Macaca mulatta: one gene and its partners. The protein of the gene in region 2 purifies or fractionates together with the protein of the main gene of each other region. This does not show direct contact. Links are inferred from orthologs where the notes say so. Each region holds a gene or a part of one and is shown on either strand. Other genes may lie near its edges.

What was found.
Region 1: the proteins of POLR2D (region 2) and POLR2M purify together in Homo sapiens (affinity purification with mass spectrometry; 3 studies listed by BioGRID and IntAct, counting the BioPlex papers as one, with this or other methods). This does not show direct contact. The link is inferred for Macaca mulatta from reciprocal best matches to the Homo sapiens genes POLR2D and POLR2M.
Region 3: the proteins of POLR2D (region 2) and RPRD1B purify together in Homo sapiens (affinity purification with mass spectrometry; 3 studies listed by BioGRID and IntAct, counting the BioPlex papers as one, with this or other methods). This does not show direct contact. The link is inferred for Macaca mulatta from reciprocal best matches to the Homo sapiens genes POLR2D and RPRD1B.
Region 4: the proteins of POLR2D (region 2) and MED26 purify together in Homo sapiens (affinity purification with mass spectrometry; 3 studies listed by BioGRID and IntAct, with this or other methods). This does not show direct contact. The link is inferred for Macaca mulatta from reciprocal best matches to the Homo sapiens genes POLR2D and MED26.

The regions. Positions count from the first base shown.
Region 1 is NC_133412.1:35,008,421-35,016,267, forward strand, and holds the start of POLR2M (protein GRINL1A), read left to right. Parts: upstream 1-2,717; 5' UTR 2,718-2,846; coding exon 2,847-2,959; intron 2,960-4,718; coding exon 4,719-5,366; intron 5,367-7,847.
Region 2 is NC_133417.1:9,416,594-9,424,325, reverse strand, and holds the start of POLR2D (DNA-directed RNA polymerase II subunit RPB4), read right to left. Parts: upstream 4,802-7,732; 5' UTR 4,785-4,801; coding exon 4,712-4,784; intron 548-4,711; coding exon 367-547; intron 1-366. UniProt on the Homo sapiens protein: Core component of RNA polymerase II (Pol II), a DNA-dependent RNA polymerase which synthesizes mRNA precursors and many functional non-coding RNAs using the four ribonucleoside triphosphates as substrates.
Region 3 is NC_133415.1:90,950,016-90,956,765, reverse strand, and holds part of RPRD1B (regulation of nuclear pre-mRNA domain-containing protein 1B), read right to left. Parts: intron 2,438-6,750; coding exon 2,288-2,437; 3' UTR 1-2,287. UniProt on the Homo sapiens protein: Interacts with phosphorylated C-terminal heptapeptide repeat domain (CTD) of the largest RNA polymerase II subunit POLR2A, and participates in dephosphorylation of the CTD by RPAP2. Transcriptional regulator which enhances expression of CCND1.
Region 4 is NC_133424.1:17,070,987-17,078,754, forward strand, and holds MED26 (mediator of RNA polymerase II transcription subunit 26), read right to left. Parts: upstream 4,676-7,768; 5' UTR 4,594-4,675; coding exon 4,492-4,593; intron 4,340-4,491; coding exon 4,265-4,339; intron 3,603-4,264; coding exon 1,947-3,602; 3' UTR 833-1,946; downstream 1-832. UniProt on the Homo sapiens protein: Component of the Mediator complex, a coactivator involved in the regulated transcription of nearly all RNA polymerase II-dependent genes.

The DNA of each region.
Region 1 (7,847 bases), on a different chromosome or scaffold from region 2:
TAGGAATTCAGATTTGTATTATGGTATCTTGAAGCCCTAAGCCATACTGTATAAAAGATTCTATCCCAAAGCACTGAAAATATCTACACAGTAATTATGATTAATTATGTAAAAAGTCTAAGATTTGTATTTAAGAAACATTTCATTAAGAGAAAGAGGAATATGAGGGAAAGGTAGAGAAAAAAATATGAGAGAAGGAGATTGTGTCAATTAGTACCTGCTATGTTCCTGAGAGGAGAAAGAAAAAGTACAATTATAGCTCCCTCACAGAAAGGACTTTACTTTTGTTAGGCAAGGAAAAAGAAATCTTGATGCATAACACAATTAGAGAACTATAATATGTTTCATGCAGTGAGGTTCCAACTTTAAGCCCTATAGTTGTGCTCAAAAGAAAGAGAAATTTAGTTTGGAATAACATAGGAAAGTTCAGGGAGGAGGTGAGACTTGAGCCAAGACTTATAATTGGCAAGGGGAGGAGAGACAGCCTTCCAAAAAAGGGTAACAGAAGGGGGCAAAATTCTGAGGCCTGAAAGAAAGGCATCCTTGCTTTGGGGACACCTGTGGCCCACAATCAGCGCCTGGGGAGTTCACTACTGTGGGGGAAATAAAGGCCTCCAGCTGGGGTCCAGGGTGGGGCAAAGGAGGCTTGTGGGGCTCTCACCACTGTAAACCAAAAATAAAATTTGAAGGCCCCCCTCAACCGTCTGAATGAACTTCCTCCTCTAGTCCAGGGTCCTCCAAATTTAACCTAAAAGACTGGCTTAGGCCATGATGGGAAGGGGAGGTCAGACATGCCTCATTATGCCCTTCTTTCTTTTAGAATCCAGGAAAAGCTGCACAGCATTTAATATCAACATCTACCTTAAGTCTGATAAGAAACACTTACAACTTACTTTCTCTGAAGCCTGCTAACTGGAGGCTTCATCTATATGATAAAACTTCGGTCTCCACCACTTCTTATGGTAACCTAGATGTTCCTTTAAATCAACTGCCAATCAGAAAAAAATTTAAATCTACCTATAACTTGGAAGCCCATCTTGCCCCACACCTGCTCTGCTTTGAGTTGTCTCACCCTTCTGGATTAAGCCAATGTTTATCTTAAATGTATTTGATTGATGTCTCATGTCTCCCTAAAATGTATAAAACCAAGCTGTGCAACGACTGCCTTGGGCATGTGTTCTCAGCATCTCCTGAGGGCTGTGTGATGGGCCATGGTCACTCATATCTAGCACAGAATACATCTCTTCAATATTTTATGGAGTTTTTTTTTTTTTTTTTTTTTTTTTTTTGTTGACACCACAGACAACCAACTGACTCGAGGAGCTTACCTATTTCTCATTCAGCCAATGCTGGAGCAGGTTATTAACATCCTTGAAAGCAAGTCTTATACAGAGAAAACTTATTTTGATATACTAATGAATCTGATCTGAATGGACTAGATTGGGGGGATAAAAAAATGGTTGCAATTGTGCTCCCTGGAATAGCTTTGGAGTTTACCTAGATCTTCTGTCTCTTTGGGATGGAGCTGCTTGTGTTAATATAGCATCTTACATAGGATTGAGACAACTTCAATTTCCTATATAAAAAAATCGGGGGAGGGCAGTGGTTTTGGAGGTTATGGGGGTGTTCAAACCTCCCAAGTGATATCTGCTGTGACTGCATGTCTTCCTACTGTTTCCATTGGGATGCATCTCTGGTAGGTGAACTATAACAAGAAACTAAAAGCTGTGTCCAATACTTACTAAACTGTCTTCTTCTCAACAGCTGGGGGAAAGAAAAAAAAAAGTCTTTTCAACAATTTTGCACATTTGGAGATAGGCCTAAAGTGAAGAAGGGAATTTTCAAATTGGTGTGTTGGAAAAGCCGCTGGGCTTTTGGGTTTGAAATCTGGTGCTGTCACTTACTGGTTTTGTGCCCTGGGAATATTTATTTCAGTTTTCATGACTCTTTTTCTACAGGCAAAGTAGAAAATTATAAAAGGTCCTCAACCAGTTTGTACAGCTGCTCCCACTCCCTCATCACCTCTTGTGGGCCTTTGGAAATGTATGTTGGGGGAGACATTTTGGATTTTTGCAATTACTTGGGAGTGCCATGGCACCTAGCAGGCAGAAGCCAGAAACACCAAATGTCTTAACAATGCCTGAGGCAGTGCCACAAATGAAGTCCTGCTCCAAATGCAATGAGCCCCGAAAAGAATTGCTGATTCTAAGGAACCTTCCAACTTTAACATTTCAGGACGTCCCTAAGCTGAGCTAGGAGGCACCACACACAGGCCGGAGTCTCCCAAATCCTGTCCCGCACTCTCCTCTACCTTATTAACGGCCAACTCATCTTTCAGGTTTCGACTTGTATTTCACTTCTCAGAGATACCTTCCCAGGTGCCCACCCCAACGTCACTATTATATTATTTGATTCTCCGTCCCTCCGTCCCCCGCGCCAACTCTGTAAACCCCAACTATAACAGAGGACGTGGCTCTTTGTTGACTAACACATAGTGCTTGGTGAGGTCACGCTGGCGCCAAATACTTTTTGTATAAACCTATGAACAGCTGACAACCGGATGAATGCTCACACGAGGGGAAAGGGCGCCAAACCCAGGCGCCGGCGTCCTCCAACGTAATTTCCGCCCTTTAGCGCTCCTCCGGACGCCCCCTTCTCCCGGTCCGTGTTTGTTTCCGGCATTTCAATAAAGCTCGATTCGGCTCGAGGAAGACCCCGTTCTTCCGGGAAAATGGCGACTCCCGCTCGAGCCCCGGAGTCACCGCAGTCCGCGGATCCGGCGCTAGCAGCGGGGCCTGCCGAGGAAGCCGAGTGCCCGCCGCCGCGCCAGCCTCAGCCTGTGCAGAATGTCCTCGCTGCCCCGCGGCTTCGAGCCCCAAGCTCCCGAGGACTTGGGGCAGCGGAGTTTGGTGGAGCTGCGGGAAATGTTGAAGCGCCAGGAGAGACTTTTGCGCAACGAGTAAGCTGGGGTCCCGCGGAGTCTCCGCCAGGCTCCTTCAGCTCGAGCTCCCTGGGCGCTCCCCTCCCCTCCCCCACTCTGTTTCCTTCCCTGGAAGGTGACCTTGCCTCAGTCACATTCGCCTCAGTCCTACGGGCGAGTGGACGGAGGGCTTGCTGTCGCAGAGCCGTGCCTCTTCCTGGCCAGGCACGTAGGCCTGCGAGGATGGCTCGGACTGAACGGCTACTTATTGTTGCAGGCAGTTAGTAGCCCCTCGTTGGTTTTATTTACCCGGGGACTGTGTTAGTTCCATGAAGCAAGAGTCTTCATTCTAAACCCTTTTGTCGCCCGCACCCCTAACCCATAACAAATTGTCAGCTTCGTCTCTGGATTCTACGCTTACAGGAACCGTAGGAAATGGGAAGAGTGGGATATGAAGAGGCGTTTATTAGGCCGGGAAAGTTCGACCCCCAGTCAGCTGGTTGATTTAACGGATTTTAGCAAGGGAGCCACGTGATAAAAGTGATTTTGTTTTTCAGGCAGCTTTGTTTAGCAGCTTGTTGCAAAAGATGGTTTGAAGGAATAAAAAGCGGGAGACAGTAGATGGCTATTTTCAGAGAGGCTCCCCACGAGACAGTTGTAAGAAAGTGAACTAGGAAGGGATTGGGAGAACTTTTAAGCATAGAGTCATTTAAATGTAGTTGACAGAGATGGCTGAGTTTTCCAATTTGTATGGAAGACCACTAGCAAAAATAGGAATATTCAGGGAGAGGAATAGATCCGTGGTTGATTTTACATAGGGTGTTCAGAGTTGAGGGGAGAGCGGGACAGACATTTGACTAATTGAAAACCAAACACTTAAAAGCTGGAGAAGTTGTCATTAGGCTCAAGAAAGAGAGAACTCTGGAAAAATATAGAAAACATAGGAATTTCAGCTGTAGAGTGTTGTTAATAGTTGAAATAGTGGGAATGAATGTAGTGTCAAAAAGAACAAAGGACCTAAGATTTTTCTCTCCATTTATTGTATAATTAAAGAAAAGAGAATCAAAAAAGGAACTCTGTCATCTAGCAAAAGGGACAAATAAATAATTGATTGGGATCAAGGCAGGTGTTTTTACCTTGTGAGAATAGGTTTTTAATCTGTAGTAGTGAATTAACTTTTTGGTCTCAGGACTCCTTTATACTTTAAGATTTTTTGACATCCCGAAGAACTATTTTATGTGTTCTGTCTAGTGAAGTTTATTTACTTATCAGAAATACAGCTGAAGTCTTTAAAACATAAGCATACACAAGCACACATTCTATTCTAGAACAATGATGTCATCATATGTCATGTAGCCACTGGAAAACTCCGCTGTACCCATGTGAGAAAATGAGAGGGAAATAACATCTTAGTATTATTATGAAAGTAGTTTTAAAATAATAGGCCCATCCCCACACTCCACCCCATCCCCAAATTGTGGGGATTGCACTTTAATGACTGCTGGTTCTTAGAATGTCTTATGTGATTATTACATGCTTAAAATACTTTTGCCGAAATTCTAATTTGCTGAGACAAATGAGGCATATATTCCCTATTCCAGCATTCCGTTGTTTTTTTGTGCTGTTTGGATAATGACCGTTTTATTTGTTTTATTCCTGTTTTGGGGCAGTTAGAAATCAGATATTTGACTTAAAAATCAGCTTTTCTTTCTTTGAAGATAATGCTTTGCCTTTTTAATGTTATATGTCAAGTTAAAAACATGGCTGTAATGTGTATGTATTCTTTTCCATTTGACAGAAAATTCATTTGCAAATTGCCCGACAAAGGTAAAAAGATCTTTGACTCTGTTGCCAAACTGAAAGCTGCTGTTGCAGAACATGAAGAAGTTAGAAGAAAAAGTGAACTGTTTCACCCTGTTAGTTTAGACTGTAAGCTAAGGCAAAAAGCAATTGCAGAAGTTGATGTGGGTACAGATAAGGCCCAGAATTCTGACCCGATACTTGATACTTCATCACTAGTTCCTGGGTGTTCCTCTGTAGATAATATCAAGTCATCTAAAACAACCTCACAAAACCAGGGACTTGGACATCCTACTCATGAAGGTGATGGAGAGACTCCAGAGGTTGAATACACAGTGATTAAGGGCCCAGCTTCCAGCAACAGAGACAGGGTACCGTCTTCATCTGAAGCTAGTGAGCATCACCCGCAGCGTCGTGTTTCAAGTCAAGCAGAAGATACTTCCAGCAGCTTTGACAACCTGTTTATTGACAGGTTACAGAGGATCACCATTGCAGACCAAGGTGAACAACAGTCAGAAGAAAACGCAAGTACTAAGAACTTGACAGACCTTTCTAGTGGGACTCAGAAGAAGCCTCATTACATGGAAGTGCTAGAAATGCGAGCCAAAAATCCAGTGCCCCAGCTGCATAAATTTAAAACCAATGTGTAAGTACCATCGGAAACAGGCCTATAACAGGAACATGATATTTGTTAAACTCAAAAAGTTAAGAGAAACTGGGTGTCGTGGTGCTTGCCTGTAGTCCTAGGCTACTCAGGAGGCTGAGGTGGGAAGACAGCTTGAGTCCAGGAGTTGTAGACCAGCTTGGGCAACTTATAATAAGACCTTTTCTCATAAATAAGGAGAATGCTCTAAGTTCCATGGGCTTTGTATGAGAATTACTTGTATTTAGGAAAGAACATATTGTGGAAACACTGAGACCAGCCTGGCTGGAGTGGAAGGTTCATGCTGAAAAATATTTAGTTTTGAAACTAAGTAATTGACAGGGTCTTAAATAGCACTTGGGGGAATATTAAATTTCAGGACGCTTAGCCAATATTTCATAATAAACACAGAGTTGGAGAGAATTTATTATGATGTCTTTTTTTCAGAACTATTTTTTAGTGTACAGCTCTAATTAGTGTACTATCAAAGTGTACTCTCTTTGATTAGTCTGTGAACTAAGGATAAAGCAATTGCAGGAGCTGATCGGCTTTCCAGCAAAAATTATTTGTATGCTCACTGAATGTAAGCAAGCAGCAGGTGTTGTGGGGACACAGTGAAGTCAAGATTCTTAAACTTCTTTGCCTTTTTGATGTTATACCTCAAGTTTAAAAACATGGCTGTAATGTATACATGTATAATGTAATACAACACCATGTTCTTCAAGGAGTTTCAGAGCTAGATGAGGACACAAGGTTTACACCCTTGGAAAAGAGTTAAGCTACATAATAACAGTTTCAGGGGGAAGGAAGCTGAGGAGAGTTTGAAAAACTGAAAATAGATTCAGGCAGGATAGGCAGAAACTCTCCTTATCAGTTCCTTGCCATAAATTTGTTTCTGAAATTTCAGGAAAAGTAAAGTCTTTTTGAAAATAATTGCTATTTACTTGCAGCAAATGTAACATTCAACTCAAAAGGTACCTTCCTATACTGTATTTACAAGTATGTAACATCAAATACAAAGTTAAATTACTACTACCTTTCTTTGAAAAACAGAAAATCTCTAGTGAAAAGTGCCTAACACATGCTTCTTTTTTGTTAGACTTTAACTCTACCCCAGCATTCATTTTAACCGCAAAACATTTTATTTCTGCCGTATAGAAAATCAGGATTATACTGCATTAATGTGATCAAGTCATCTCTTGTGTACAGTGAGGTGTCTTTCTTCACTTCCAGGATGACATTTTAGGAAACTAGAACCATCATCTAGTCAATAAATACAACAAAGAATACATTAATCCCAGTTCTGTATTACGGTCATTTAGCTGGGAGTGGGAGAGAGGTAAGGGAATAGTGATGAGGGCTACCAAGAATTCAGGAAGTTGAAGAGACAGGGAGCCTTCTGTATAGTTAGAGGAGAACAGGAAAGACAGGGCTTTGAGGAGTCCTTATGCCATAGACAAGGATTTAGAGGGTTCCATGTGAGAAGTGGCTTGGAGGTTGGAAGGTGGGGTCATTTAGTGTCCTTGGGTCCTTTCTGCTCTTCCTTCTGCATACTCTTCTGGTTTCATGTATCACCTGGATGCTGGAGGCTGACCCCTGTCCACCTCTATCCCAGATCTTCCCAGAACTTTAGGTTTGCATAGCCAATTAACCATGAAACTTGACCACTTGGGTGTTCCTAGGCACCTCAGCTTAATCATGTACAAAGTGGAACTTCTGTTTCTTTCCAAGGTAATTTCCATATTTCCTAATAGGACCACTACGTTCTTTGTTTTCTTCCCCTAAGGTATCTTCCATTTTTCTCATCTCCGTATCTGCTAGCCATGAAGACCTACTTATTTCTTTGATCTTCATCTCTATAATTGTTCTTCATCTTCTGTCGAAGTGAAGACTCTCATCTCTCTCGGGCTATAATTGTGGCCTCTTCTACCTCTAGTCTTATTAACTACCAGTCAGTCTCCACTGCTGCCAGAGTGAAATTTGTAAGATGGAAATCTGAATTTGTTACGGAGAACTCTTCATTGCAGTCTGGGCCCAGCCTACTTCCCAGCCTTCTTTCTGGCTGTCTTTTCTGTGTAGCCAGAAAAGCTGAGTCTCTCTACCTTCTGTACTTTCTCTCACTCCCCTTGCTGGGATGCACTTCTCTCCTTATTTAAATGGTAAGCAGTTATTCCAAGACTCTTCAAAGCTTTTTAGAAGCTTTTCTTACAGCCTCCCTGTCTCCCACTAGAACTGGCCATTTCCTAATGTTCCAGTGTATCTTGTTGAGATATCTGCCATAGTACCTCTGGTATTATATTGCACTGAAACTTTACATGTTTCTTTCTTTCTACTGGGCAATAAGCCCTTTTGCAAATGTTCTTTGAATGATACATGAAAAAAAAAAAAAGCTCCAGATGAAATATAAGGTTTGAATAAGGAAGGAAAAGGCAAGAGCCTGTGTGCACACAAACACACCCCTGTTTGTTAGAGCAATAAATACTG
Region 2 (7,732 bases):
CTGGAGTTCAGTGGCGCAATCTCGGCTCACTGCAACCTTGGCCTGCAGGTTCAAGCGATTCTCCCACCTCAGCCTCCTGAGTAGCTGGGATTCATGGTGTATACCATCACACCCAGCTAATTTTTGCATTTTTAGTAGAGACAGGTTTTTGCTATGTTGACCAGGCTGGTCTTGAACATCTGGCCTCAAGTGATCTGCTGCCTCAATGTCCCAAAGTGCTAGGAGCATAGGTGTGAGCCGCCATGCCCAGCCCAACATTATTTTACTTAAATTCACAGGTGACACCTGGGAAAGGGGGAGGGGACAGCAGTCCACATGCAGTTGTCCAACGGTTTGGATTAATAAAAACTTTCTTTTAGCACTCACCTACGAACACTGGCAATGGTCTCTCTGTTTTTGAAACGACTGAAACGGGCTGTGTAGTTTAATGTTTTCATGAAGACTTCTGAGAGTTCCTGTTCATCCTCTGCACTCTCATTCTGTTGCTTTCGATGTTCCAGAAGCATATGAACTTCTGAATTTAGAAGTGTCTCAGCTGTTTCAAACTCTATTTGTGAGAAGCATAAATGGCAGCTGAAAATACTCCTTCAAAAGTTTGCTTCTAAATGTTCATTGTGCATCTGAATGCACAATGATCTCCCTGCAGAGATCCAGGGGTTTCCTACCCCACATCTACTTTTTTTCGAACTGTTATTTTAGGTTCAGGGTACATGTGCAGGTCTGTAATACAGGGGAAATGGGTGTTGTGAGGGTTTGGTGAACAGACCATTTTGTCATCCAAGTGATAAGCATAGTACTGACAGGTAGTTTTTCAATCCGCACCATCCACCCCCTCAACTAGGCCTCAGTGTCTGTTGTTCCCTTCTGTTCATATGTATTCAAGGTTTAACTCCCACTTATAAGAATGTGAGGTACTTGGTTTTTTGTTCCTGTGTTAATTGCTTAAGTGAATGCCTCCAGCTCCATCCATGTTGCTACAAAAGACATGATTTCGTTCTTTTATTTTTTTTTTGGAAACAGGGTCTCAATCTGTCACCCAGGCTGGAGTGTAGTGGCATGAATACAGTTCACACTAGCCTTGACCTCCCTGAGCTCAGGTGACCCCCCACCCCCACCCCAGCCTGCCAGGTAGCTGGACTGCAGGCACGCACCACCACGCCCTGTATGATTTTGGTAGAGACGGGGGTTTCGCCGTGCTGCCAAGGCTGGGATCTCGTTCTTTTTTATGGCTGCAGCTACTCACATCTTTACATTCACCCACAGTTACATATCACAAGGCAAAGTGGAGTTCACGAGACACTAACATTTAGCTTGTCTGAACTAGATTCTGACACCAAAAACCTGACCTAGACATGCTACTAAGTAGTGACACATATAGCCTAGTTACTGATTTCAAGAGTACACTGACAATTACTGCCCTCTAGCCTGCATCAGCTCATCATCTTCCTACTTCGATAATGCTAGTATTATACTCTCAATTTTAAGAATTGTTACGTGTTAAAAAGAGCCAAATGTCTAGAAATAAACATTAATAATGTACCCCCAAATCTATTTTTGTACCCACACAAATGTTATAAGCAATTTTTAAGAATTAGGTTTGAGAGAAAAAGAAACCCATGGCCCCTTTTCATAATATATGGCTACCTTCTACACTTCTAGAATAGTTCTGTTAAAAAATGCTGTTACCCCTTGGGAAAATCACTCTCTCCCTTATGTTCCTGCAGGATCTTATGTTCCTGATGTTTATCTCAAAATATTAGAGATCGTTTTTATCTGTCCTTCTCTTAACAGTGAATTCCCCTAGAGCAGGAACCATTCATAAACACGAATTCATGTTTATAATCCCTCACCGAAAAGGAAGCAACAGTGAGGAAAAGCCAGAATGACTTGCAATTTCACATTTACACGTGCTATAGGTCTGTTTATTATCGGGGAAATCACTAACACCTCCCTCAGAGTAACGCCTTCCCAATTCTCAAGCCGGGTAACTGACAAGAGCCTCATTCTCCTTTCACAACACAGACAGTTTAAGTGGTAGGTCAGGAGGAAAGTCTATTTTTATTTGAAAGGTACTCATTGCTACTGAATATAATAGGCTACCAATACAGCTGGAGCACTATTGAAATAAAATTAAAATCTAAATAAAAAAAATAGGTAACCAAAAGCTATTTTCTACCTGAGGGCAGGAGAGTTTAAACAAAAACCTCAGAACACCTTTTTCTGTCTTCCAGCCTATAACAGGGGATGTACTACAGTGAGTGCCTATTTGTATACCAGGAACTTTACTTCTTTTAATCTTTAACACTGAGGCACTGTAGGTACAGAAGAAACTACTGCCTCACAGCAATGAGTAGAGGAAAAGGCATTATATATCAGGACTGCAGGACCTCCAAACTCTGAAGCGACAGTAACAAATGACATCAGGCCAAAACAAAAAAGGGAAGAAGTAGCTAATCAGTTACAAATCGGTGTGTTGGAACTTTGATGCTTTTACAGGTCCTGGAAAAATCAATGTTAAGAGATGCATCCCAGGCTGGGCGCCGTGGCTCATGCCTGTAATCCCAGCACTTTGGGAGGCCAAGTCAGGTGAATCACCTAAAGTCAGGAGTTCGAGACCAGCCTAACATGGTGAAACCCCATCTCTACTAATACAAAAATTAGTCGGGCATGGTGGCACATGCCTGTAATCCCAGCTACTCAGGCTGAGGCAGGAGAATCGCTTGAACCCAGGAGGTGGAGGTTGCGGTGAGCCGAGATTGTGCCACTGCACTCCAGCCTAGGCAACAAGAGTGAAACACTCTGTCTCAAAAAAACAAAACAAAACAAAACAGATGCCTCCCTTTCTGCACTAAACCAAAATTACTTGTTAAATGGAAAGGAATGGAACTTTTAGGCCACCAGGAAACTAGTCAACTGTCCCTATTTCTCATTAAGAACAATATTCAAGTACTACTAATACATTACCCTCACTCCCTTCAACCAAGGAAGGTCAAGGCAGCCAAACTGTAACTCAGAGGGCCTAGGAAAGGGGTGTCTGAGACCTACCACAGAGCTTTTGGGAGGCATTCCCAGGATTCGCCATCAACAAAATGGGGATGGGGGAGGCAGTTCAGACACTTTTGTATAACTACAGAGAGGAGGAATCCAAGACTTCTCCCCATGGCTAATTCCAATAAACATTTTCAAGTGAAAGCATACACACACACACACAAAATTTATTTGGAAACAAAAGGAAATAGATCAGGGGATCTGCATGTTATTCTCTTGTGCAAATATTTTAAGAACAATGGCCATGGGCCGGGCGCGGTGGCTCAAGCCTGTAATCCCAGCACTTTGGGAGGCCGAGGCGGGTGGATCACGAGTTCAGGAGATGGAGACTATCCTGGCTAACACGGTGAAACCCCGTCTCTACTAAAAATACAAAAAAATTAGCCGGGCGTGGTAGCGGGCGCCTGTAGTCCCAGCTACTTGGGAGGCTGAGTCGGGAGAATGGCGTGAACCCAGGGGGCGGAGCTTGCAGTGAGCCGAGATCGCGCCACTGCACTCCAGCCTGGGAGACACAGCGAGACTCCGTCTCAAAAAAAAAAAAAAAAAAAAAGAACAATGGCCATAATTAATCCCTGTTGCTAAAAAAGGAAAACAATTCCTTGGCCAGTATGTCATCTGGAAATTTTAGTAAGGTTCCGTCATCACGACCATTAATAGGCCCGGTGCAGTGGCTCACACCTGTACTTTCTAACACTTCAGGCAGCTAAGGCAGGTAGACCACTTGAGCCCAGGAATTCAAGACCAGCCTGGGCCACATGCTGAAATCTTGTCTCCACAAAAAAAATACAAAAACTAGCCAGGTGTGGTGGTGTGCACTTGTAGTTCCAGGTACTCCAGGGGCTGAAGTGAGGTGGGAGGATTACCTGAGCCTGGGAAGGTTGAGGCTGCAGTGAGCTGTGATCACACCACTGCACTCCAACCTGGGTAGCAGAATGAGATCTTGCCTCAAAAAAAAAAAAAAAAAAATGCAGGGCGAGGTGGCTCACGCCTGTAATGCCAGCTCTGTGAGGCCAAGGTGGATGGATCACTTGAGGTCTTGAGGCCCTCATCCCTAGGAATACCCTTCCCAACCACTGCGTGCCTGAGAAAACTCGAGGCTGCCAAAATAATTTGTTTGTTCCAGCCAACGGCTGAAAATAGGCCTCTGTCTCTCCGCCTCGGTGGGAGGGTAGGGGCCTAACTTCGATAGATGCTGCAGTCAACAAACCAAGGTGGGTTCACACGGACCCTCCTCTTCCCTCTTTTTTACATTTCTCACTTCCCCGACTCCCCTGAGCCCCCGCTCACCACATCCTTATTCCCTAACTCTCCTTTAAAACGCCCAGAGGTTCGGTACTAATCGAAGTTGAGTTCGGTTCACGCTGGACTCTTCTCTCTAGTGCAACGTTCTATCCCTGTTTAAAAATCTGTCCTCACCACCTGGGTTTCCGGCTTTGTTTACCTTTGACACCAGCGCCCGGAACTTCGCAGTTTGTTATCACATAAAATAACCCAGTTGCCCAGGCGGCCACTCCCAGGTCCACGTTCCCTCCCCAGCCCTACGCCGCGCGGGGGTCTGCCCAAGCCGCCGCCGAGGCCAGGCCTTGGGCGAAGCGCGGATAACGCCAGGCCTGCGGCGACCACGCGAAGTGCCGCGGGGCAGTCTGGCGGCCCCGAGCCCAACCTTTAGGAAAGATGAGCTGTGAGGCGTCCTCCTCTACGTCGCCAGCCCGCGGATCGCCGCCACCTGCTGCCATCGCTGAGTCGCGCGCCACCACCAGCGCCGCCGGAAGCGGAAGCGCGGAGCAACGGCCACGGAAGGGGCGTGGTCTTGGGAGGGGCCCCGAGGGGTGGGCGGGGCCGGGAGTGTGAGGCTGGCGGGGCGCAGCGAGGGGACCTGCTGGTGTTGTCCCGGAGGCTCCCCGCCGCCCAGGGCCGCCCTGCACTCCCTCTCCTCCCTCGCGCCTCGCCGCGCAGACGTCCTGGGGTAGGTCCCTAGGCCTTTCTGGGCGGAGAGGGTCAGATGAGCTGCAGGAACGCCTGCTGATGGAGAGCAGGGCAGCCGACTCCGAACGTGCCGGGTCGAATTTCTTTCACTGACTTACACTTCTAAAATTTTATTCATTTGTGATGGATTATCTAATACTTCTGAGCACGCGGACAATGATATTCAGAGGCTTTTACCACACGTCTGTTGGAACATTTGGGTGATGCATAGAAAATTAAGCAAATGACGGCCGGGCACAGTGACTCACGCCTGTAATCCCAGCACTTTGGGAGGCCGAGGCGACGGGATCACCTGAGGTCAGGAGTTCGAAACCAGTCTGACCAAAATGGTGAAACCCTATCTCTACTAAAAATACAAAAATTAGCCGGGCATGGTGGTGGGCGCTTGTGATCCCAGCTACTCGGAAGGATGAGGCAGAAGATTCGCTTGAACCCGGGAGGCGGAGGTTGCAGGGAGCTGAGATCGCGCCACTGCACTCCAGCCTGGACGACAGAGTGAGAATCCATCTCAAAAAATATATTAAAAAAGAAAAAAGAAATGCAAATGAAAAATGATGCTGTTTTCTACACTGGAGAAAACGAAAGGTTGTACAATAAAGGAAATAATCGTAGCTTATTAGTCAACGATATCTTAGCTCATTAGTCAACAATGTTTAGAAGGTCATATTGTAAACTCTGTTGATTTAACAACAAATGAATTGGGCCGGGCACAGTGGTTCACGCCTGAAATCCCAGCACTTTGGGAGGCCGAAGCTGGAGGATCGCTTGAGCTCCAGAGTTCAAGACCAGCCTGGACAACATAGTGAGACCTCCTCTCTAAAAAATACAAAAATTAGCCTGGCGTTGTGGTGCGCGCCTGTAGTCCCAGCTACTGGAGAGACCTAGGCGGGTGTATCGCTTGAGGGATGCAGTGAACTATGATCGCCTCACTGCACTCCAGCCTGGGCAAGAGAGAGAGACCGGCCAAAAAAAAACAGGCAAAGTCCAGGCGCGGTGGCTCACGCCTGTAATCCCAGTACTTTGGGAAGCTGAGGCGGGCGGATCACCTTAGGTCAGGAGTTTGAAACCAGCCTGGCCAACATGGTGAAATCTCTCTCTACAAAAAAAAAAAAAAAAAAAAAATCTGGGGCGTGGTGGCGGGCGCCTGTAATCCCAGCTACTCGGGAGGCTGAGGCGGAGGTTTTAGTGAACCGAGATTGCGCCACTGCATTCCAGCCTGGGCGACAGAGTGAGACTCTGTCTCAAAAAAAAAAAAAAAAAAAAAAAAAAAAGCTTTAAAAAATTAAAAAGTAAAATTTTAAAACTAAAAAAAAAGAAATCCTTTAGAAGGCTGTCCTGGGAATCCTGTCTGGCCTGTGCAGCCTGACCTCCTGCGAGGGTTCCTCCACGGCGTCTTGCTGTGCCCGCACTGTGGTCTCCCTCCACCTGAGAAGTTCCCTCCTCCGGAGAATGCTCTCTTTGCTTCAGTCCTGCTTCTCCAAGGAACGTGCCCAGACCGCAAGGGCTGTCCACGCCCCCTTTCACGTGCTCGGAAAGGCTGAAGGTACCGGCGGGTTTGATGCTTGCGGGTGTTCCCCTGTACACCCAGCACTGAGTGACAGGCCAGATAACCACAGCCGCCCAGCGACTGCACCATGTGTTGGGGTCTGGGCAAAACATTTACTATGTTTACTCTTTTTCCCTATGACTTCTCTAAGGTCAGGTTACCTTAGAGATTCACAGTCCTGTCACAAAGTGGGAAATGCCTTATAAATGGCAGGACCAAGATTTGAGCTTAGGCCTGTGGGACTGCCAGCCAGAGATTCCAGCTGTCATCCGCCCTGGGTTATTTCTTTGGTTGGGAGCCAGGATGTGATCACAGAATAGCCATAGTGGGGGAAGGGGGTCTGATTGGCAGCAGGAACTTGAGGGACTGATGGTGAACTGGAGACCTCTCTTTTCTGTTTTCCAATAGCTTTGAAATTGGAGTTCCCCCCCCCCACCCCAATTTTTCAGGGCATACAGAACCTGTGTGAGTAGAAATAATGCATAAGCGGCAGGAAGAGAGACCCTCGAATTCTCGTCTGAGCTTGATTTTAATGAGGAAAACAGACACAGAAGGGACAGGACTTGCATTACATTCCTCAGGCTGCTACTCTGATTCTTGTACGGTACTGGTTGAGTCAAGCCCTTCAACCAGCCCACTTAGTAGTTCAGTCAGATTATTCAAGCCAAGGTTACAGACCTAGATTGATCTAGAAGCAGCTGTAGAGCACCTCCCCCACCTCCACTCCCACAATTAGCACCACTGACCCGATCAGATGGTTTATTTCACACTCCAGAAGTCAACAGTGATGGCTAAAATCACAAATTTTGCTTTATCACCAATCACCCTCTCCCCCAAAATCAGTCATAGGGAATTCCATGCTGTTTAGTTACAGGTAACATGGAATGTAATCTCTAGAACATTAATTTATATTGAAGACACGAATTCCTCTTCAGACACACCAGTTATTAACAAAGCCTGTAAACATCTAGCCAGCTGCTGGTAGTCAATTTTCAAAATTACCTAACCCCGACAGCATGTTTTTATCTGTAGCCATGTGTTTTTGAGCTTTGCTAAGGGCCTCAGAATTGAGAACCTTAAAAAAAAAAAAAAAAAAAAATTCTACCTCCCTGCAAATAGTGTCAACTGCTGATCTTTGGGTGGGTTGGTTAG
Region 3 (6,750 bases), on a different chromosome or scaffold from region 2:
CTAAAGGAAAGGTCCTCTGAGGCCTACAGATGCCCTAAGAAAGAAAAAACACAAAAACAAAAACCACCCACCCCACCCACCAAGTCACCTCATACATATAAGGAGGAAGGTTCATTTAAATTAAACAAATGAAGTAAGCACACTTTGGGAGGATGTGGACAGCAGAATTAAGATTTAAAAAACCAAAGCATTTCATCAAAACAAAAAACTAACTTCCTCACAGGAAGTTCACTAGTAACAGGTATTAAGAGGCCAACACATTCATTTACATAATTGCTAGTTTCATTTCTTTCTTTTGCTGTAATAATTATGCACTAATTGCTGGTCAGAGACTCAGTTGGATAAAACAGAGCAGTGGGCTAAATCCATTCTGTTACATTTTCATCTAGCTGATCAGAGCAAATATCTATGATCCTCTTTCGGCTGGATTGTGGCTGGTCAGATCTCACTTCCTTGGTGAAAGCACAGAGTGTCCAAGATGGGCCTGCTCCGAAACATGCTCATCTAGAAAGCAGCACACCACAGGGGGCGGGGGAGAGGTTGGGGAGTGCAGCAGCAGCAAAGATTACAATTGATCTTGCAATTTTAGTGATGTCACCTATGGCCTCTGGAAGAAAAACCTTATAGACTCATTAATTTAACAGTGACAGAACAACGGCAGTGTCAATAAGCAAACAACACACAGTCTGAATTCAAATTGGAATAACAGCTCAAACACTACTAGGTTCTACACAGAGTTAAACTGAATATCTGCTACGACTTTTCATTGTTCTCACTTCATGACAAGCATGAGAGCTTCTGGAAGGGAAGCCCGTTACGCTTCATAAACATAGATTATGTTTCAATGTGTTTAACATGTAAAATTACATGTAATTTTTGGTGATCCTGGAGATAGCAACACAAATTAATGGAGATTACAAAGCCCCCTCCATGGAATTCCTTTTTATATAGTTTGGGTTTCAGCCTCTGGTCTATAACTCCTATTACACTACTGGGGCAAATCGCTTTCTGCCCTTTCCAATGTCAAAAATAAGCCTGCCAAATTAGAATGATTTACAATTGGCAGGCTGAACCTTTACTATAAGCAAGATAAAAATCGTCTCTAACTACATTATATAGTCATAATGTCAGCTGACATGATAATAGAATTAAAACCCCCAATTAATATCCCCAACTCCCCGCTTCCCCTGCCCGAGCTATTCAATAACATCTGATGCAAGTACTCCCCATCGTGTGGGGACAAGGACCTGTGCAGTGGTGTGACCTGACAGACGGACCTGCTCAGCGTCCTATTTGCAGTGATACTCGAGTTTAGTCACCATACTGTGGACATGCACCCAGACAGTGGATTAAACGTTAGTGTGTACCCTACTCCCAGAAGAAAGGGTCCAAGTAACACCCGCACAGAGCCCAAATGCAGCACACCTGTGTGTGGGGCCTTCATCTTTTGGAGCCCACCAATGTCTGCCACCCCTAACAACTGCCTTCGCACCCACCAGGGATCAAGGCATCCTGTTTTTCAGAACGTGCTCCGACAGTGGAGCAGTGCGGTGTGGGAAGGTTGTATCTAGGAACTGAAGCAAATAAATTACTTTTAATTCATGCTTGTGTTCCCTGTTACTCTGTCTCTGAACTGTGCCTTTATGCTCCAGATTAGCTTTGAATCTTATTGCTAGATTCTCCAATCTGTTTACAAAATAAATGCACCTATAATCTTTGTGCATCACTAGCAGAAGTAATGGAAAGGGAGGATCAGAGATTTGGCAAACTCTTTATGGCAATGCTACGACAGCTGTGCCTCCAACCTTTTGGGGCAGATGTAGCTGGGAGAGCCAACATCTCCAGGACAAGTGCCTTAGTGGAAGCCCACACCGAACCTGAACAAGCCCAGCTCAGAAAGGAGAAGCTGCTTTCATGACAAAATGCTGTCATGAGCGACAAGATTCTTTTGAAAGCTTCCAGAAGTACACATGATCTTCATAACTTCTTAGGTATAAGGAGAGAGTTAAGAATGGAAAACCAACAGGGGCGCATGAAAATATGAAGTGGGAGAAAAAGTCTGTAGTCTTTGCAAATATGAATATAAACCAGATTCCAGTCGCCACTGTTCTGAACTGTGCTCAAGATGAGAGGCTGAAGAGGAGAATCAGAGCCTGAGGTTCTTTCTTGAGGCTGGGGGGCTGGGCGGAAGAAGGGATAGAACCAGGGGCTAGAAGGTTATTTCCAACCATGACTTGACCTCTTCTTTCTGCTGGTACAAACAGAAATCTGGGACATGACACCCATCCTAGTCAGTTGAAAACAGGTCCCCAGCAGAGGGCAGGGGGGCTAAGCCCCCTGTGACGTTGGGCAGCAGTGAGAGGTCTGGCAAGCTCTGAATATGGGATTTCAGTTCCTTGCGGACCTGGGTTACTCGCGCAAGCTTCTGTTTGTATTCCTAAGGAGACAAAGAGAATACAATACTGTTAAGTCTGTGCGTGCTGAGGGCCTGGGTGCTGCTGGAGCTGGGGCAGTTACTCCCATCCTCATGTTCTTCCTTGTCCCAACCAGCCTGCTCACCCTGTTCAGCTATATCACAAAGCTAGGGCTTCAAATGCTCAAAAGGCAAAACTTTCTATCAAAAAAGGAACGTAGAGTACAATATTGGCAACAGTGAATTAAATGGTATTCAACTTAGGGTTGAGATTTGGAAGTAAAAAGAAGTGACACTTAGTATTTGCATTCTCTTTTTGTCCGTTCTCAAAAGTTTCAAAATGCCTTATACAATAAAATACAGACACCTGAGCTTCACAATTTCTTTGCGGACTCCACCTAAACACGGCTAGAAAAAACACAGTGAAGTTATACTTTCTATGTCAAAGGTTGGATATTAACCTAAATTTATCATGTTTTGCAAACAAACACTATAGAAGCTCAAAATACCCCACTGCTACTCCCTGTGACCAGGGCCTCCTCATTCCATGACTGAGTCACTACAGTAAATCCCTGGTGAGGCCTCCTGACCCCTAGGGCTCCTAAAATGCCATCAGACTTCTCTCCCGAAAGCCCAGCTTTCATGAAACCACTCCCTTGAGAAAGTGAGGCACGGCACCCACTAGCTCCGTGATCTGGTCCTTCAGAGCAGAGCTCAAGGTCTTGCAAAATCAGCCCCTGCCAAGGTGTTTCTCACAACCTCCTAACCCTCTTTGTGTGGACCATTTTTTCAGGACTCCCTGCGAGCCTGGAGGGGTCTCTCTCTTCTCCTAGCCCTAGGAAAGCCTGGCCTCCGCTCCTCTGCCCTCGGACTATCTGGACTCCACCTCTCTAGGAAAATCCTTGCTCTGCATCCAGGAAACGACTCCCCATCTCCTCCTGCTCCAGAGCTCCCCCTCACACAGGGAGTGTACCTGAGCCCCTAGCAAGCTGCTCTATGCTCTCTCCACACATGAGAGACTTCTATGTTCCTCTAGAATACGAATCCCCTAATGATAGGAATGGGGCATTTTTTTTTTCTTTCCTCAGCTCCCAGTAAAAGGTACTCTTGATACATCTGCCAAGATATACAGAAAACAACCCTAGGCCATGTGAAGTCTGGGGCTGTCGGCCCCCTTGGGCTTATTTTTTGTCCTCTTGGTGTCTCTGCAAGGGTAAATAGGTCCCTGAGGCTGGGCCCTTGCTGACTTAGAAAGCCCTTCCTGCAGGAATGTAACAAGAAGCACTGGGCTGAGAGGCAGAGACCTAGATTTAGTCCTGGTTCTACCTCTAACCTGCTGTGTGACCGTGGATGTGTTCCCTTTTTCCATATCTGAAAGTGAGGGAACTGGACCATAACACTTCTTTTCAGCTTCTAAATTCCTTGATACCAGATCCCTGATGCACACCTGAAGAGGCAGAAAGCAGAAGCTAAAGAATGGGAAGAATAATGAGGCAGGAAAAAGGTCAAATGAAGAATACTTAGTTCAAGTTGTAAAGACCAAAGTCCAAGCAAGGAGTGAGAGGAGGGAACCAGGAATATCCTCTCCCCATTACTGCAGGCAATCGGTCTCCCATCCACAAGGACAGCTCCTCACGCAGTCCACAAAGGAACAGAAAACGGTAGAGAGTGAGCTCTCCTAGCAGCCCATTTCTTTCCTTTGTAAACTTACTACAACTAAAATTAAACAATGACTTATGTAAATGATTAGCAATGACTCCCACATTTAACTAGTAAGCTCCTGGAGGCCAGGACGAGACCCATCTGCTTCCCCCAGCATCCACCAGGCTCTGCAGTGTCCAGCAAACAGCAGGCATCCAGCACATGTGCCGAATGAAGGAGCCATATCTAAAACATAACATCAGGCATAAGCATGCCACATGAAGTAACTCCTGAGACTAAGACTTCGGTTAATAGTCACCTTTCACACTCTTGAAGTTGAAAACTATTTTCAGATTTGAGGATCTGAACCCCCTTTCTCCCACAAGTACTTTTCTTCTTTGGCTGTTTATACTTCAAGGGAAATTAATATATAGGATGAAGGTGACTAATTCTCTATTTCTGGACATGGATTCATCTAATAAACTTCTCCTGAACTGAAGGTACAAAAAGGGTAAAATGGCAAAACAACTACACAACAGGGACTTCCTGCCCCCACCTGAATTCTCTGACCAAAGCTGACAAATCAAAGCCACCTCGACTCAGAGCCAACCACTCTTGGCAACTAGGGAGCCCTTCAGTTGAAGGAGTCTCTCAAGAACAGTTTGAAAACCACCGAGTCTCTGGAAGCTGAGCTGGGATCAGAATCCAAGACTCCTTACTCTTGAGTTATCATCAGACCAACCTGGCAAGTTCACTGAAGCTAAAATGGAAGGCACTTTGATCTAATTAGACACCACTTTAAGTTCAACTAACTTTCTCCTAGGGAATTTCTTAAAAATCCCAGTTGTGGCCAGATGCGGTGGCTCACGCCTGTAATCCCAACACTTTGGGAGGCCGAGGCGGGCAAGATCCCCTGAGGTCAGGAGTTCAAGATCAGCCTGGCCAATATGGCGAAACTTCGTCTCTACTAAAAACTACAAAAGTTAGCTGGGTGGGGTGGCGGGTGCCTGTTAATCCCAGCTACTCAGGAGGCTGAGGCAGGAGAAATTGCTTGAACCTGAGAGGCAGAGGTTGCAGTGAGCTGAGATTGCGCCATTGCACTCCAGCCTGGGCAACAGCGAGACTCCATGTCAAAAAAAAAAAAAAAAAAAAAAAACCCAAAAAACGCTTTTCTGTTTGGAAGGGGGTATAGGGTGGGGTACAGGGGATTCCTATATATCATGCTTAGGCTGATATTATATTCCGGACATTACCGAAGAAACTCATTTAACTAAAAAGAAATGTGTTCCAGTCTTCAGGCCACTCTGGAAGTGGACGGATCCTGCCCAGAGCTCTACATGCCACTGGGTGACTCTTCTCGTAGGGACGCCTATTGTAAGAGCAGGCGTAGGAGGAAGGAATCACTAGAGAAAAGCAAGAGTGACAGTGAGACTGTCACTGAAAAGGATTAATAAACATCAAGGCTGGCCTGGGCACGGTGGCTCATGCTTTTAATCCCAGTGCTTTTAGAGGCTGAGGCAGAAGGACTGCCTGAGGCCAGGAGTTCGAGACCAGCCTGGGAACTACAGTGAGACCCTGTCTCCACAAAAAAATAAAAAACACAAAACACTGAGGCTGTACAAAGAAAAGATCTGTAGGCTAAGAGGTTTAAATGTATCGGCAAGGACAACTGGGTATATACTCGGAATAACCAAATACAGGTAGCAATTGCCTTTTAAACTGTTAAAACATGTACCTGTTTAACTGGGACAGTCAAATGACCCAGATTAATTTCCTGAAGAGAGGCAAGCAGGCTGGAATTCATGGCAAGCTCTCATTAGGTTACACTAAGGCTATAGTAATTTTTATAGTGCACTAAATAGACTCAAGTAGTAACACTGTGATTTCCCACTCCCCACCCCTGCTTTTACAAACAGATTCAGGCTTTCCAAACAAAGTCATCTGCAAACCTTGCCATGGACCAACAAAAGAAATTAACAGTGACTCTGGGCTAGACAAGGTGGTTCACGCCTGTAATCCCAGTACTTTGGGAGGCTGAGGCAGGTGGATCACTTGTGCCCAGGAGTCCAAGACCTGTCTGGGTAACATGGCAAAATCCCATCTCTACAAAAAATGCTAAATTAGCCAAGCGTGGTGGCACACGCTTATAAGTTCTAGCTACTCCGGAGGCTGAGGTGGGAAGATTGCTTGAGTCCAGGAGGCGGAGACTGCAGTGAGCCAAAGGAGTGATTCCAAACAAAACTCCCCCAAACACAACTCCAGCCTTCACCTGCCTCTGAATTCTCCGGTTCTTAAGCTCTCTCAGTTGGGTCTTGCAGATCCTCACTAGCTGCCTTTTCAGGTTATTCTCTTTGGGTCTCGAGAGATGAAGGAGAAAGGTCTCAGGAAAATCCAAGAATCTCGTGTCTCAATTTACCAGCTTGCCTTCTCACACAAGTGCAGTTCACGAGCTCTGCTGCCAGAGGGCTCCTCAGCTACTCCTGCTCTCAGAAGAAATCCGGGCCTCTTTTCCACATCCCACAAAAACTAACTCCAACGTGACGAAACCCACTCAGATTCTTCTACCTCGTCTAAGTGTGCTGTATCCCATGATCTCTTTAGTACACCAAGTACCACTCAGGGAGAAAAATGATGTGCCCAGGTGGTCACATGCTTCTTGTTTCAGACACTTTATTCTTGTATGTAACACAGGACTA
Region 4 (7,768 bases), on a different chromosome or scaffold from region 2:
TATTTTCACCCCCCAAATGGGGACATGTGCACAGGAGTGAAGAGATGAGCTCAGAGCCACACAGCTGGTGGGTGGCAGGCCTGGGTTCAACCTCATCCTGCCCTCAAAGCCACTTCGCCCATGGCCTTTTGTTGGGGAGGGGAGTGTATTCTGCACCAAGCTTTTGCCAGGAATCCCTGCTAGCTCTGAAACTGGCTCTGGACTGACTGTAGTCTTACAGGCTGGAAGGAACCCTTGGTTTGCTCTGTGAGATTGCATGTCTTAAGGTGTAGCTGTTTCTTCATTTGTGAAATTAAGCAGATACGGATAAGATGACCTATTCCAAAGTGAAAAACTAGAAAACCAAAGTCTTAGCCTACAGTTTCAGGGAAGAGGGGGAACTTAAAAGATGATCACTTTATAGTCAAGGGAGAACTATTTTTTTTGGAGTCAGCAACCACCAGCTAGTAAGGCAGCCGGGGGCCAGGGCCACAGGGTGGGCTGCCACACACACACACACACACACACACAGCTCTAAGTCTCTGGTATTTTGTTAAGGTGGGGGTAGTCACTGAGACCTATGCTATGGAGCCTCCTACGGAGGGCTGCTCTCTAGGCCAGGTAAAGTCTGGGTGAGACAAGATAACGTTCCTTAATGTGGCCCTGAATGAATAAAATGTGAAGGTCCTCCCAAATGCAGCAGCAGGCTAGCAGGTGGACTTCAAAGCACAGTGCCCTGTCCTGTCTCCCTGCATTGCGGCTGTTGGGGTCTAGGTTTTTCTGGCTAATCTACAATCCAGGAAAGGGCTGATTTGGCTGTGAAGGTCCAAATGAGAAAAGATTCTCAGACTGGTTTGTGCAAATGGTTTTTTTTTTTTTTATTTCCACATTTATATCACAAGGTGTCCACTTACTGGACCAAATAGCAAAGTTGCTCCCTTCTGCGTCCTGAGAACACAGAAGTCTAGGTACTGTACATTCACTAAGGCTCCTTGTTTTTGCAAATCGCGTTTATGACAAATAACCATAAGGCAAACGAATCTAAAGGAATGGTTATGAGTGTTTCCAGCGTACAGACAGGTCTCCCCCTCGCCCCACAGTACAGCATAAAACCAGTAGCACCCACAGTCACTTTTGTGTTGTTTTGGGAGGACTCTAGAAAGGTGAAGTTTTCTAGATGTGTACAGGAAGGGAAAAAAGAAAGGGAGGAAGAAAGGAAAGGTTTTTTTTTTGTCTGGTGGTCTGATGGAAGGAGTTGTTAAAATAAACATGAAAAAACTTAAATTTTTGCAGCATTTCTTTAAAAACGGGGTTATAACTGAAACCAGATATAAACAGGTGGCTGCCCATGGAGTGTGGGTCACCCTGGCTGGCCAGCTGGCCCGCCTGCCCGATGCCAGTGGCTCACCACAGCTGAGAAGCTTCTGGCACATGACGGACAACACTGACCTGACAGTGGCTGGGTAGGGAGCAAACAGAGGCAGCATGGCCCACTGTCTCACAGACACTCAGGGCCAAATTAAAGAACAGAAAATGCAAGAGAGATGAGATGCGTGCTTCTGTTGCTGTGTTAAAGGTAACCTCTCCACAGGTTTTCTGTGCCTGCCTGCAACTGAGGTCCCAGCTTTCAGGTGCTGGAAAGTGTCCGCACCTCTTCAGGGGTGAGGGACTAACGCTTTTTATAGCTGGTTTGCTATAGAGTTCTGAACTCACTTTGCCGTCCTTCCTTCCACGCGGTCCTTCCTTCGCAATTTTGTTAGTAAACTGGTAGCAGCATTTCACAAAAGGAGAGTTTTGAGGGAAGAGTGCAGAGAGACCGCGTGACTCCCGCCCCCTCCCTCCTGCCCGGGCCGGACTCCCCGAGTTCCCAGTGCAGGAGGCAGCTGGGCCCCGGCCACCCACCCACCTGCCTGCCCGCCCGCCCGGCTTCTGCAAGATGGGAATGCACTTCGTGGCTGACGGGCCGGTCAGTCCAAACAGACATAAGGCAGAATGTTCAAGCGCCCGTCATCGCCGTGCGGATCAAGTGATATGCACTGCGTCCAGTCATACCAGTTACCCTGTGTGTCCTGACACCCGTTCACCCCCGGCCACTGGCTGGCCTGGATTCTGTCGAGATCGTCCTGTGTGATATCCCGGGTCAGCCCGGGGAGGTCTGTGGGCGGGCTTTGAGGCACCAGCACGTGCAGCTGCCTGGCCCCTTGCCGGGTGCTCTCCTCCTGCTTCAGGTACTCAGACATGAAGTGGTGAGCCCCCGGGGTCTGCGCGCCCGACGATGAGAGCAGGCTGCTCTGCCGGCTCAGGTAGGACTGGATGATCTCGTTGCGTGACAGCTCCTTCCAGTTCGTCTGTTCAAAGGGGCTCTGGAGGCTGGCCTTGGCCTCCTGCTTGTCCAGCTCTGTCCTGGACTGCTGCTCCATGTGCACAGGGCTGTCTGCCCGCACTGGCTCTTTCTGGGTCAGAGGTTTGATCTGTCTTGTCATGGGGTCAAAGGTGAGCTTCCGCTCTTTTAACCGGACAGGCTTGACGCCCGCCTCAGCCACCTGCCCGTCCAAGTTAACCGTGTAATCTCGAGGCCGGTACCTCTTCTTCTTTTTACTGTCCGAGCCCCCTGAGGAGGCAGCGTCACTGTCCGCCTTGGAGGAGTCTGGGGAGAAGCCCGCCCGGGACAGGAGGGGCTCGGCTGGGGACAGCCCTGCCTTGCAGCCCGGCCCCGCCAGCCGCTGGTGGCTTTCCGGCTGCTCAAGCCAGCGCACTGGGCTTTCCGCACTGGGCAGCAGCTCAAGCCGCCGTACAGGGGGTGTGGACGGCTGTGCCAGTGGAAGCGGTGACGGCACCTGTGTGGCATCGAGCGCCTGGGGCCGCGGTGAGGGGCTGGGCACGGAGCCCTTGGGTGCATACAAGCTCTGCTGCCGGGCAAAGGAGCCCTCATGCCGTGAGTTCCGAGGACTGAAAGAGCAGCGAGGGGGCCCCTTGGGGTGGGGAGGCCCCGGAGTCTCATCCACCCTGTCCAACTGCTGCAGCACCGAAGCCTTTGGCTGCAAGCAGGGTCCAGGGGGCTTGCCCAGGCCTGGGGAGCTGGTGTGCGGCCGCACAGCGTTGATGGGGATCTTGCCACTGTGCTTGTCGTTCTCGCCACGCTCCAGGCGGCCGCCCTCTGGGCCTGCATGCCCACTGCCATCCAGGGAGCCAGGGAAGCTCTCTGGACTCCCACTGATGCCATTGGTAGGGAGGGGGGATGAGTTGGGGACCAGGGGGTCGTGGCTAGCTTTGGAGACCTTAGGTGGTGGCCCTGGGTGGCCGAGGTCACGCTGGTCACCCCTGCGCTTGCGGCTGCCCAGCCTGTCCAGCCGCTGCCCGGGCAGCCTCTGGAGGTCATTGCGGCTCTTCAGGTCATGGATGCTCCTGGGCGGGCCAGCCGCCCCCACCTCCGGCCGGCAGTTGTGTGCACCCCCGTTGGCAGAGCCAGTGGCCCCCGCCAGCCCCCGCAGCGCTGCCTCATGCTGGTGCGCTGGCTCGATGAGCTTCTGCCAGCTCCGCAGCAGCTTCTTGGCCCGCTTGGCGAGCTCCTCGTTCTTGGTTTTCTTGCGGACGTCGTTGATGAGCTTCCCAAGTCGTGTTTCCTACAACCAGAAAGAGAGATGATGACATACTTTCGGGACAGGGACTTCCCCATGAGCTGAGCCAGAAATGGTGGGAAATGGCCCTGACAATGAAATGACCTGGTTCCCACTGAGCCCTAAACTGCCAGCCTCCCTGGCACAAAACTCCTGGGGATTTCCGGTCCTTTGTGACAATATAAATTCTCAAACCTAGTCCCCAGACCTTCAGAGTCCCAGGTGGCTTCTCAGCAGTGCTGTCCCGCAGGCTCCTGGTGCCAGGGGGCTGTCAAGGCCACTGTAAGGACACTGCCAGGGAGGCTTTCTGGATGAGAGGGTGCTGTGGCCAAGGCGGCAGCACAGAGGGTCTGCTTCAAGTGGAGGGTTGGGGACGGCGCCTCTCATTGGAGCCTCCCCCAAGCACACCTCTCCTGATGTCCCCATGTCCCCACGTGCCCACGTGCCCATGAAGTGTGCTGGGCAGGTAGGATGGGATTAATGCCACTTGGTCACTGCAGTGGCCACAGGAGAGCAAGATCACGGGGCACAAGCTGTGAGGGCACACCGCCTCTCTTGGTCCTCTGAAGCAAAGACACACGCTCCTAGAAGCTGGGGAAGGAACTGGGTTGGTGCCGTCCCCTGTCCCCCATTCTGCACTCCCAAATGCTGGGGTCTGGGATACTCACCTCAAGTGCCTCTTTGGTAATGGGGTATTTCTCCAGGCTGGAGATGACTTCCAGCACCGCCACCATGTTCCGGATCTGTGGAAATAAAGAAAAAGCCATTTGTCAGGTTCCTGCCCTTCTCCCCTGGGAGGCAGGGACACCCTACCCCAGCCTGCTCCAGTCTCTCCCCAACCCCAGAGCAAGAGGAGCTGGCAGCACTGAAGCCCCCACTCCATGTAGTCTCCTACCTGCTCCCCAGGCCAACCTGGCGCCCAGTGCTCATCCTCACCCGCTGTCCGACCTCCTCCAGTGTGTGGTGTGCGGTCTGCTCCAAACCCTCCAGTGTACATGGTACATATCCACCCACCTGCTGAAACCCAGGATGCTTGTGAAACAAGAGCTGCTCCTGATACTTAAAATGACCTCTACTCTGCCATCTGATGGGAGTGGGAGAGGAGACACTGAAGAATTCATCGAATAAAATCCACAAAGCTTAAAAGATCAATACATAGGCTGGGCGCGGGTGGCTCACGCCTGTAATCCCAGCACTTTGGGAGGCCGATGAGGGCGGATCACGAGATCAGGAGTTTTGAGACCAGCCTGGCGAACACAGTGAAACCCCATCTGTACTAAAAATAAAAAAATTAGCTGGGTGTGCTGGCATGCGCCTGTAGTCCCAGCTACTCGGGAGGCTGAGGCATGAGAACTGCTTGAACCCGGGAGGCAGAGGTTGCAGTGAGCCAAGACCACGCCACTGCACTCCAGCCTGGGTGACAGAGCGAGACTCCGTTAAAAAAAAAAAAAATTCAATACATAATAAACCAGTCGATTTGAATCCAAAGACACCATAAAGAGAGCAGAAAGTCACAAAGTGGGAGAAGGCATAGACCACAAGCCCCAAGGAGCTGTATCTGGAACACACAGAGAATGCCTGTGCAGCAGTGCAGCTGACCAGGAACCCAGCGCACAGTGGCTACAAGACAGGAACAGGCACTGTGCAATGAAATGTCAGCGCTAATGCTCAGCTTCTCAGCTTTATCAATAATTAGGAAAACTCAAACTGAACCCACAAATGGATATATGATACACGCACCCCACTGACAATACTAGGTACTTCTGGGGGTACAGCCGACTTTGGGAACGGCTGGACTTTGTCTGGCAGAGTGAAACATGAACACATCCTATGACCGAGTAATCCCACCCTTTTAGGATCTTGCTAGGAGCCACACCTTGTTCTAAGCACTTCCCACACATTACTAACTCCTTTAATTGTTACAACAAGAATTCCTACCGCTCAACCGCCACCTCCAGCAGCTACAGGTTTCTGGTGGGCTGGCTGGCAGGCGGGAACCCAGGGGCCCTGAGGAAACCACAGTGAGTAGATTACACAACTCCCCCCCACCCCCACCCCAACATGATAAAGGAGTTAAGCAGGCACATGATACAAATTAAAACAGCGTAAAAGGGCACACAAGGAAATGGGCATCTCTGACCCAGCCACTGTAGCATTACCTTGCATTTTTTTCCAAAAATATCCCTTGTGTATGCAGGCGTATACATCTACACTTGTCACATATTTCAAAACCAAACTGACCGTGGTTCTTGCCTTTTCTGACTTAACATCAGCAATGTCCAGCCTCAAACAGAGCCCCTCATTTGGCTCACCATCCCTTCCAGAGTGGGGAAGGCCCGACTTGAATGTTGTGGGACACTTAGGCACTTTCTGTTCGCCATTACAAAACAAGGCTGCAACTGACGGCAGTGACAGACTTGACTCTGGGCTAATGCACAGACAGCCGCGGGTGAGCCGGGGCTTCACATCCATGCAGGGTGGTCACCTCGCCCCCAGGGAGGCTGCTCCATTCCATTCCCACCAGGCCACATCCTTGCCAAGACTGCGTGGCATGAGTTTCCATAACACGTGATTGTAAACTCAGCATCTTACACAGCACACATTTATCATCTCAGGCTCTAGGGCTCAGAAGTCAGGTCTCGGTCTCACTGGGCTGGGATCCTCTCTGGAGGATCCATTTCCTGCTCCTTCAGGTGTTAGCAGAGTTCAGCTCTTACTTATTTTTTTGAGACGAAGTTTTCCTCTTGTCGCCCAGGCTGGAGTGCAATGGCATGATCTCAGCTCACTGCAACCTCCGCCTCCTGGGTTCAAGCAATTCTCCTGCCTCAGCCTCCCGAATAGCTGGGATTATAGGCACCCGCTACCACGCCCAGCTAATTTTTGTATTTTTTTAGTAGGGATGGGGCTTTCACCATGTTGAAGGCTGGTCTGGAACTCCTGACCTCAGGTGGTCCACCCTCCTCGGCCTCCCAAAGTGCTGGGATTACAGGCGTGAGCCACGGCGTCTGGCTGAGTTCAGCTCTTTACACTGCAGGAATGAGGCCCATTTTCTTGCTGGTTGTCATCCGAAGCCATTCCCAGCTTCTGGAGGGCACTGCATCCAGCTCACAGCCCCTCCCCTTATGCCAGCTACAGGCCGAGTTCTCGCCCGGCATCTCTCTGACCCAGCCAAGATAGGTGCCATCTCTAAGGACTCCCTGACTAGGCAGGGCCTGCTCAGATGATCTCGGATCATCCCCCCCATCTCCAGACTGTTCCCTTAGTCACATCTGTCATGTTCAGTACCACATGCCTGGGCTCCAGGACTAGAATGTGGACGTCCTTGAGGGCTGTTAATTCTGCTGGCCTCATGGATTCTGGCTTTTCTACTCTTCTGCCCCACTTCCAGGGCAAGGCAGCCACTGCCCCTCCCTCCCTTCCCCTGTGTTGTCTCCTCTGGGTGTAAAGTTGCAGAGTGACCACAGAGCCACGACAGCAGTCCCTGCAGAGCTCCCACAAAGCTGCCCCTCTGCCAATGGGCCCATTTGCTCCTTGGCAACAACGGCCTTGCCTTGCAATGTTCTCATTCAGGGCTCCAAATGACCCTGAAAACCCTGCTTCAAGCTGCATCATGGTGGGGGTGGGTGGGTGATGAGAGAGGAGATGCAGTCCTGTCCGCACTCCTCATGCAATGGGCAGGGATCAGTGCAGGGGAGGACTGCGCCATTAGGAGGCCAGTCCCAGACAGATAGCAAGGCCAACCACACCCTGGCCCAGGCACTCCAGCACCGACTCAGTCCCTGGGCTTGCCACATGGCTTCACCTCCACCCTGCTGACCTCACCCTGGTATATTTGGAGCCTTGGTTCCCCACATACTCCTGAAGCAGCAGTCCTTGCAGAGCAGAACACTGCCCAGGCCCAGCTAGCCTAGTGGCACAAAGTGTCCTTGTCCTTGGGCAGACACCATCCTGCTGCCAGAAAGGAGGGAGGAGACAGAACACCTGGGCAACCCCAGGGTCTGGCACTGAGCTGGTGCCCCAGAAATCACTGCTGAACCAACAGCCAGCCCCAAGAGTCTCCTGGAAGCTGTGTGGGAGCTGGGGACACCAGGCGAAGGTCTGAGGGCCCTGTGACTGGGTATCCTCACCCCTGGCCCCTCCCCTGCCTCATGAACCATGCTTAAGTGTGTGCA